Linked DNA regions of Struthio camelus. The protein of the gene in region 1 interacts with the protein of each later gene in a biochemical or structural test. Links are inferred from orthologs where the notes say so. Each region holds a gene or a part of one and is shown on either strand. Other genes may lie near its edges.

Evidence for each region.
Region 2: the proteins of RACGAP1 (region 1) and ECT2 form a complex in vitro, tested with the Homo sapiens proteins (3 studies listed by BioGRID and IntAct, with this or other methods). The link is inferred for Struthio camelus from reciprocal best matches to the Homo sapiens genes RACGAP1 and ECT2.

What each region holds. Positions count from the first base shown.
Region 1 is NC_090969.1:1,513,740-1,517,485, reverse strand, and holds the start of RACGAP1 (rac GTPase-activating protein 1), read right to left. Parts: upstream 2,374-3,746; 5' UTR 2,359-2,373; coding exon 2,233-2,358; exon of another isoform or gene 2,216-2,232; intron 1,327-2,215; exon of another isoform or gene 1,275-1,326; coding exon 1,190-1,274; intron 916-1,189; exon of another isoform or gene 808-915; intron 709-807; coding exon 506-708; intron 112-505; coding exon 1-111.
Region 2 is NC_090950.1:27,061,140-27,064,885, forward strand, and holds the start of ECT2 (protein ECT2), read right to left. Parts: upstream 2,594-3,746; 5' UTR 2,471-2,593; exon of another isoform or gene 2,438-2,470; intron 1,458-2,437; exon of another isoform or gene 1,370-1,457; intron 1-1,369. UniProt on the Homo sapiens protein: Guanine nucleotide exchange factor (GEF) that catalyzes the exchange of GDP for GTP. Promotes guanine nucleotide exchange on the Rho family members of small GTPases, like RHOA, RHOC, RAC1 and CDC42.

The DNA.
Region 1 (3,746 bases):
AACCTGTGGCCTGTTAAGAAAGGCAAGGGCAGATTTCTGTTCTTCACTTAGCTGAATACTCCCAGAGGCATCACACATGAGCAGCTCTCGAATCAGTTGTATTTGCCGCTCCTGTAAAGGTAGGTAGCATCAGAAGCTGCCACAGCATAGACTACATTTAATTACCGTATGAACCAATCTCGAGTATTTGAGATACTGCACAGATCGTCTTTCTCAGAACTTGTCTCAGGAGAACGTTAACGGCCACAAAGCGACAGCAGCCCATGCTCTGCTAGGTAACAGCAGCTCTCCTGTAAACAGCAGCTGATAGGCTTTGGCCTATAAAAAGGCTATTCAAAGCAGAAGGCTACTACAAGGAGCCAAGCCCCCTCCCCCCCCTTTTTTTTTTTTTTTAAAAAAAAACAATTATCTTGGCTGCCAGTCCTTATTTTCTATAGATCAATGCAGATTAACCACTATCTCTCTGCAGTCTAATGAGCTAACTGGGTAATGAAGAATTACTCACCAACTTCTCACAGTCTGTTTCAGCTTTTTGCCTTCGTTTGATCTCCACGTCCACTTGATTGCGAGCGTGTTTCAGCTTCACATCCAGAGCACTACGTTCAGTTTCCGTTTTCATTAGAAGATCCTTGTACTTGGCAAGCTCATGCTCTGTTTTCTGCCACTTTCTCCGAAACTCTTCAAAGTTCTTTGCTAACTGAATAAATTCTGGGTAGAAAACATTTCAATCTTTAGTTGCTAAAGCGAGCAGAGGAAATGCAGCAGGCCTCTATTTGCTGACAGTAGGCATCTATCAATGTAACCCACCCTTGACAGAAGAGGCAGACAAGCTGGCCTTTCAGCAAAGCCAACTGCACTCTAGATGTTCACTAAGATTTCAGACCAAGTCCTTCACATTCGCATCAACCAGAAGAGCTAGAACATACAAGACTCTGCATGGATGAAGTCAGCTTGCTACAGAAGCAGAGCACAGCCCTGCCCAGTTCAGCCTGTGACTTCATCCTTCTAGACAATGAAAAAACAAACCAATCAACCAACCCCCACACAAGTCTGGCTACCCACATCAGTCTCATCACCCACAGCTCCATCAGATTGTCCAGTAACAGTCACTGATGTTTGTTTGCACGTTTATAGTCCCACAGCAAACACAGAGCAGCCCACTGGAACTACCCACAGAGACAGGACTTACGATATTCGTTTCCCTCACTTAAAACTTCGGCCTGGCGCATAAGCTGATCAAATAGATTCCGCAAATTCAGCATTGCTGTCTCCATCTTCCTGCCAAGAAAATGGACCTAAATAACCAGCCCAATCCTCTCCTTCCACCTTCAAGCAGAGGTTAGCAGCCCAAAGAAGACAAACAAAGACAGCATTTTAATCAAGACATATGCATCTCAACTAATTCCTAGAGCATTAAGAGCAGCCTCATGCCTCCATAGTTCAGGGATAAAAAAAACAGCAATATGAAGAGGCAAGTAATTGCTTCAAGTAATCTGCAGTATACTACAGAGGCTCAAGCCCCCAAGACAAGATGACTTTCTTTCTGGAAGGCTGCAGAACATAACTCGCACCCAGGCTATGAGTAACTTGGCACTATATAGGCCACTAAGATCTGTAAGGTTTCAGCATTTCATAAGATAAAAATAGGAGCAGCATTCTGAAGAGTTTGAATACAGTTTTAAATTTAGCTGCATTTTAAATTACAGCTCCCACAGCAAACAGCTTTTGAAATTCAGGGCAGTCAGCATGTTTTCCTCAAACAGCAGCAACAATAGCAGAAGAGAAGAAACGAAGAGAAAAAGTCTCCAGCTCAGCAACACAGCTATGACTTCTCTATCCAGCAGGGTCGTCAGCGAGCAAACCCGGGTTTATTTTATTGCGTGTGTTGCATTAAAGGCAGCAGGGTCGCTAGCCCGGCGCTGCCCAGCCCGACGGGGGCGGGTGAGGGAAGGAGGCCAGCACGAAGGGTGCCCACAGCCGCCTCCCCCTCTCCCCCGGGGCCCGGCCCGGCCCTCGGCGCCACAACCGCCCCCTCAGGGGAAAATCTCTGAGGAAACCGGCGCCGGGACGGCCCGGGCCGCCGGCCCGCGCCGAGGCCCGGAGGCAGCTCCCCCCACCCCCGGCTCCTCCCGGTCAAGCGAGGGCCTCGCTGGCAGGGCGAGACCCGGTACCGAGGGCCCCGGAGGCCCGGTACCGAGCAGCGGCCCCGCTTTACCTCAGCCGCCCGCTCACCTGAGGCGCCGGCCCGGCGCGAGCTCCCGCCGGCTGCAACCGCCCGGCCCAACCGCCCCGCACTTCGGTTTGAATCCCAGCGGCCAGCCAATGACAGGCCGCTCTCCCGCCCTCCCGGCCGCTCATTGGCTTCGCTCACCGCCAGCCTGAAGCCGAGCCGGCGCCATGTCTGCTGAGGGCGTGGCTTCTCTGCTCCACTCCCTCGTGCGAGGGCGGACGGGACCCCAGAGGCCGCGTGATGAAGCCGGCCCGGCGCCATCTTTACTGCTGGTTCCTGGTCCCAGCCTGCGTTGCTTAGCAACGGAGCAGGCGGCGGATGCTGACAGGCCTCAGATCGCCCCAAAATCGTGTCCGTCCCCCGCCTCGTCCGTGCCGCCACCCTCCGGGCTTGTCACCGAGGCCCGAGCCCAGGAACAGCGGTCAACCACTCCCGTAGATGCGGGGGGTGATGGGCCCCTTGCAGCCCTCCGAGGCTCCCCAGGCGCCTCGAAGATATTTGATGAAACGTTGTCCAAAATCGCCTTCGCTTCCGAGGAAACGCCGATGGCTGCGGCTTTGGAGGCCTCCAGGCACCGACCACAGCAAGACCGATACGCGAATTTCCACCCCCGAGGAGGAGGAGGGAAATCCGCGGACCCGGCTTCCCGGCCCGAGGCCGGTGGGAGGAAAAAAAAAAAACCCCAAAACCTCCATTTTCCACACATTCCCATTCACCAAAACCTAAAACCTCCCAGCAACCTCTTAACACACGAACGAGGCCGTTTATTAAGTGCTCCCGTTTCGGGAAAATGATGCCTCCACCGACATGTTTGCTCCGGTTAAAAACCGTTAATAGGATTTATGCTAATCTGCCGATGCCGGCCATGGCCGAGCATCCCTCCCCGCGCCGGGATCTCGCCGACGCCGAGACGTTTTTGCCGTTTCCTTCGGCAGGTCTCGGCCGCGGATTAAGCCGCCGGGAGTCCGGCTCACCCCCCCCCCCCAATCTTTTTTCCCATGCAAACGGCAAAAATTAATCTTCCGTCTTCCTCTGATATTTGGGCTGAAATACAAGCTGGGAGGGGAGATAAGCTGGGGGGGGGTAACGGCGGTGCTGCCGGCCGCGGGCCGCCCCAAACCGCCCCAGGCGCCCCGCGTCACCCCCCAACCCTTAGGTTTCTCCTAAGGTTCCCGCGGTTTCCCGTCACCGCGGAGGGAAGGGACGGTCCCCTCCTTCCCCGCAGGCGAGCAGACACGACCTCGGTCGCCGCCACCTGCTTAATTATTTTTTGCTTTGCAAAGGGGAAAACGTCGGCCGTGCGTTTAACAACGGCTGCTTGGGAGTAATTGGGGTGATTATTGCATGGCCCAGGGGAAAAACCGCAGCTGGTTATCTCCAGGGAGTAGCGTTAGGATTCGGCAGATAATCAGAGGGTTATTTGTAGCACTTTAGATGTCACTTCTTAACGGATTTAGGAGCGATCGCGCTCAAACCACGCTGTCGGGGCTGCTCCCAAACCGGGGTGCCCAGGGAC
Region 2 (3,746 bases), on another chromosome or scaffold:
TTTTAGGTGAACTGGCCAGGATTACTTTGGTTTAACGTTGGAGTCAATGAAAATGACCACCCAGGGAATATAAGCAGCAGACCTTACACGGAAGTGTTAGGTTCTTCAAAAGTAATGAAAGTGCCTATGGAGTTAATAAGCGTACATATAGGTCTAAGCGTACGATCTATTGTACTGTCCTACATTAACTATAACGTAGGAGTAGTACTCATTCATCAGATAAAGAGGTTTTACCTTCGCTCAAACAGAATATAGCAGTACCCTTCCCACCCATTAAACAAGTTTGCTGCACACTGGAAAAATCTTAATCCTTTCATATTTTGTACAGTAGCAAATCAGAATATTTATTGCAAGACACCTGCCCGAAATGTAGCACATTTTCCTCTGTGCTTGAATCCAAAAGTATGCATTTCCTGTGACTCAGTCACGCAAATTTAAACATTTGTGCAGTGGTAGCAATAACTGGGATAACCTCTGTGTCCGAACTGCTGCCATAAAATAACCCCTGTATCTCTTTGACTGAAGCAGCTCTCCTTATGACTATAAATGCCCCTTTACAAAGTCATCCCCAAAATAATACACTAAAGCATTGTTTGAAGGAAGACTGCTGAGGTAGTAAAACCCCAGGAGAGCAGCATCAACCACTTTTCAAGTGATGTAATGCCTGTCCAATTAGGCAGAAAAGTAAAGTCATAAGGCTGAAAACTGGGAGTTTTGCCGTGACAGCAACAGAGAAAAGAAGTTTATCTTCTAGAATCCAGGACATCACGTTTGAGACTTTAGATAGGATATATAACGTCTTCACACTGCATCAGATAAGCTCCTGACATTGCATTGAGCAATATGCCAATACCACAAACCTGTCATAAACCTAGGCATATTCAACTATAATTGCAACAAAGGTGGCAGCTTTGATAACCTCACACACAGCTCTGCATAATATGGTCCTCTCTTCTCTCCATATCTGCAAAAATACCAAAGGCACTACAATAATGAGGGAATAGGGGAAGAAGGAAGAGAAGGATAACTAAGAATAGGTTGGGAAGAACCAAAGAAAACCAGAGCAGCATTCAGGCATTGAAGTAGTGGATCCCTGAAGGGCACACGACAAAGAAGTTGCATTGTGTCCAGGATCCCAAGCCTTTACAGAAGGAAGTCCTAGTTCTCCTACAGCACAGCCACCTTGTCTTGCAGGCTGCATGGAACCAAGTTTCCTAGCAGTAGGTCCTGGCCACTCAGCTAGATTTTTATCTTTTCCAGAAGAAAGAGACCTAGCAAAAGGAGAAAGTAACCTCATCCAGAAAAGGTCTTTAGGAATCACCTGTCCAGAAGGTTATGAAGATACCACCAGGAACTATTATACATTTACCTTTTAATTTGGCAATGTGGACAGGGGATAATCTCAGAAGATTCCACATTGTTAGTCATTACTATAGGACAAGCAATTTTATTGAAAACTAGACAAACAAACAAACAAAAAAAAAACACAGAAAAAGCTCCACTTAAGGATGCAATTAAATTAAAATCCTACAAGCCCTAAAGAAAACCAAAAACAAAAACACTGCCACAAAGGAGTACTGATATAACTCCCATCATACTGCTGTTGTTATACCAACTAACTTGCACATGAGCATGCATTTTCAAAGAATTGCACAGTATATCAGGAAGAACTCCATACTGTGGTCTGCCCATGCAACTTTTTTTATGGCTTTTCTAATTTTTTTTTTAAAATAATCCTGTTATAGTAGCCATATCCAACTTTTTTTTTACTACCCTCTGTTATAGCTGTCACAGATTAAATAATGACATAGCACGACCAGTCACTGTACTCAGACATTGATAGTGCCAAAAACAGAAGAGAACAAACAGCCCACACAAAAGCCACGACCAACGCATTTCCCCTTCACATAAAAGGAAGTAAAAGGCACCATCACTACAGGATTCAGGTACCAGTGCACTTCCAAAGGACAGCCCCCATCACCTGGGGAGAGCCTGAAGCTCAGAACACCCACACCCCCCAAATATATATGTTTTTAAGCAAGTAGACAATATTAGTCTTATCATGCTGTTTGTTTCCCTCCAGAGGAACCACCTAGTAGGGTGACCAGGCTGCTGTGGTGTTGGGAGATGGCCAGAGGCCAGATTAGATACAGCCACCTGCTCTAAGGTTATGAAGCCAGTAGGTGCAGGGGAAGAACCCGCTGCCGGCCCAGAGAGGCCCCGGAGCGGCGATGAGCCTAAACCCGCGAGGGTTTAGGCCTCGCAGGTGCCCCAGACGCACCCCCCGCCTCGGCCCACCTCAACCTGCCCCGCCCCAGGCCGCCCGCAGCCCAGCGCCGCCCGCCTCGGGCTCGGCCTCGGCCTCTCCGGGCTCCGGCCCGGCTACGCCGCTCCGCGCCCCCGCACCGAACCCGCCCGCTCCCCGACACCCCGGTACCGGCTTCCCCCGCCCCCCTTCACGACCACCAACCGCAAAGACAGCCTCCGCCATGAGCGGCCGCCAACACCAATTCAAAAAGCGAGCCGGCGCACTAAGGGCGCCGCGCATTGGCTGTCCGCCGCGCCCCCCCCGGCCGCCGCTCTGTAAGCCGCCACCTCATTCGGCTTCCCCTCGAGACGTCCCGCCCCCCCTTCCCCTGCTCTTTTTGGAAGGGGCTTCGGCTTCTGCCCTCTCGGATTGGCTGCCGCCGCTGCCGCTCGTTGCCAGGCGGCCTCCTATTGGTGGACGGAAGTTTCCTGGGCAAATGATTAGGCCTTGTAGTGGTGCCTAAGAGCAGGTTGCTCAAAAAAAAAAAAAAAAAGGGGGGGGAAAGGGAGTGCTTTGCTCTGATTGGTCGCTGGAGGGTTTCGAACGCTTCCAACGGCCGGGGGGGGAGAGGCCCGGATGGAGCGAGCGGCGGTGCGGGCGGGCGGGCGAGGGGGCCGGGAGGTGTCGTGGGGCCGCAGGCCGCCCTGGGGGCGACCCGCGAGCGGGCCCGGGGCGCGCAGAGAGGCTCCGTCCCGCGGCCCTGAGGACTCACGCTGCGGACGCGTTACCTTTCCCTCTCGCCGTTACGCCCGAGCGGGCCTCCGAGGCTGCCTCGGAGCGGCGGTAAAGCAGGGCCCGTTGGCAGCGCGGAGGCGGCGGCGGTTAACGGCCGCAGCGCCCTCCCTGCCGCTGCTCTGTTACCGCGCCCTAATGAACACCGGCATGTTGTGGGCTCTTCAGGGCACGGGGTGGGTAGTTGTTCTCCAGACCGCCTTTAGGCACGACATGGAAAGGATGATAAATAATTATCCCGGCCATCATGAACGTATTAATGCTATTAAGAATAAGCTCTGCCTTGCCGAGGGTATTAGTGTCAATATATTATGCTGAGCTTCGGAATAATTAATTTAAAGCAAAGGGGGGGTAGGGGGAGAGCTGACGGGTGAAAACGCTGACAGGTTGAGATGAAAGTCAGCCAGCTGACTCAGTGGCACCAACCCCCAAAACAGTTATACCAAATGCATCCTCTGTTCCGTTCGTTTTAATTTTCTCTAATATTAACACTTTCTGATCTGGAAATGAATCCTTTGGTAGGTACTCAGCATCTCTGAAACCTCATTTAGCGTAATGCCTTGCTGAATCACTGTAAAAAGAATATGAGTGAAATAAAGAGTAGTTTTGCACTGTTTTCTATTACATGCTTATGCTTATATGCCAAATTAAGTTCTTGAGTATTACTCAATTTTTTATATTACAGATTTTTGTTAGTTCACGTATT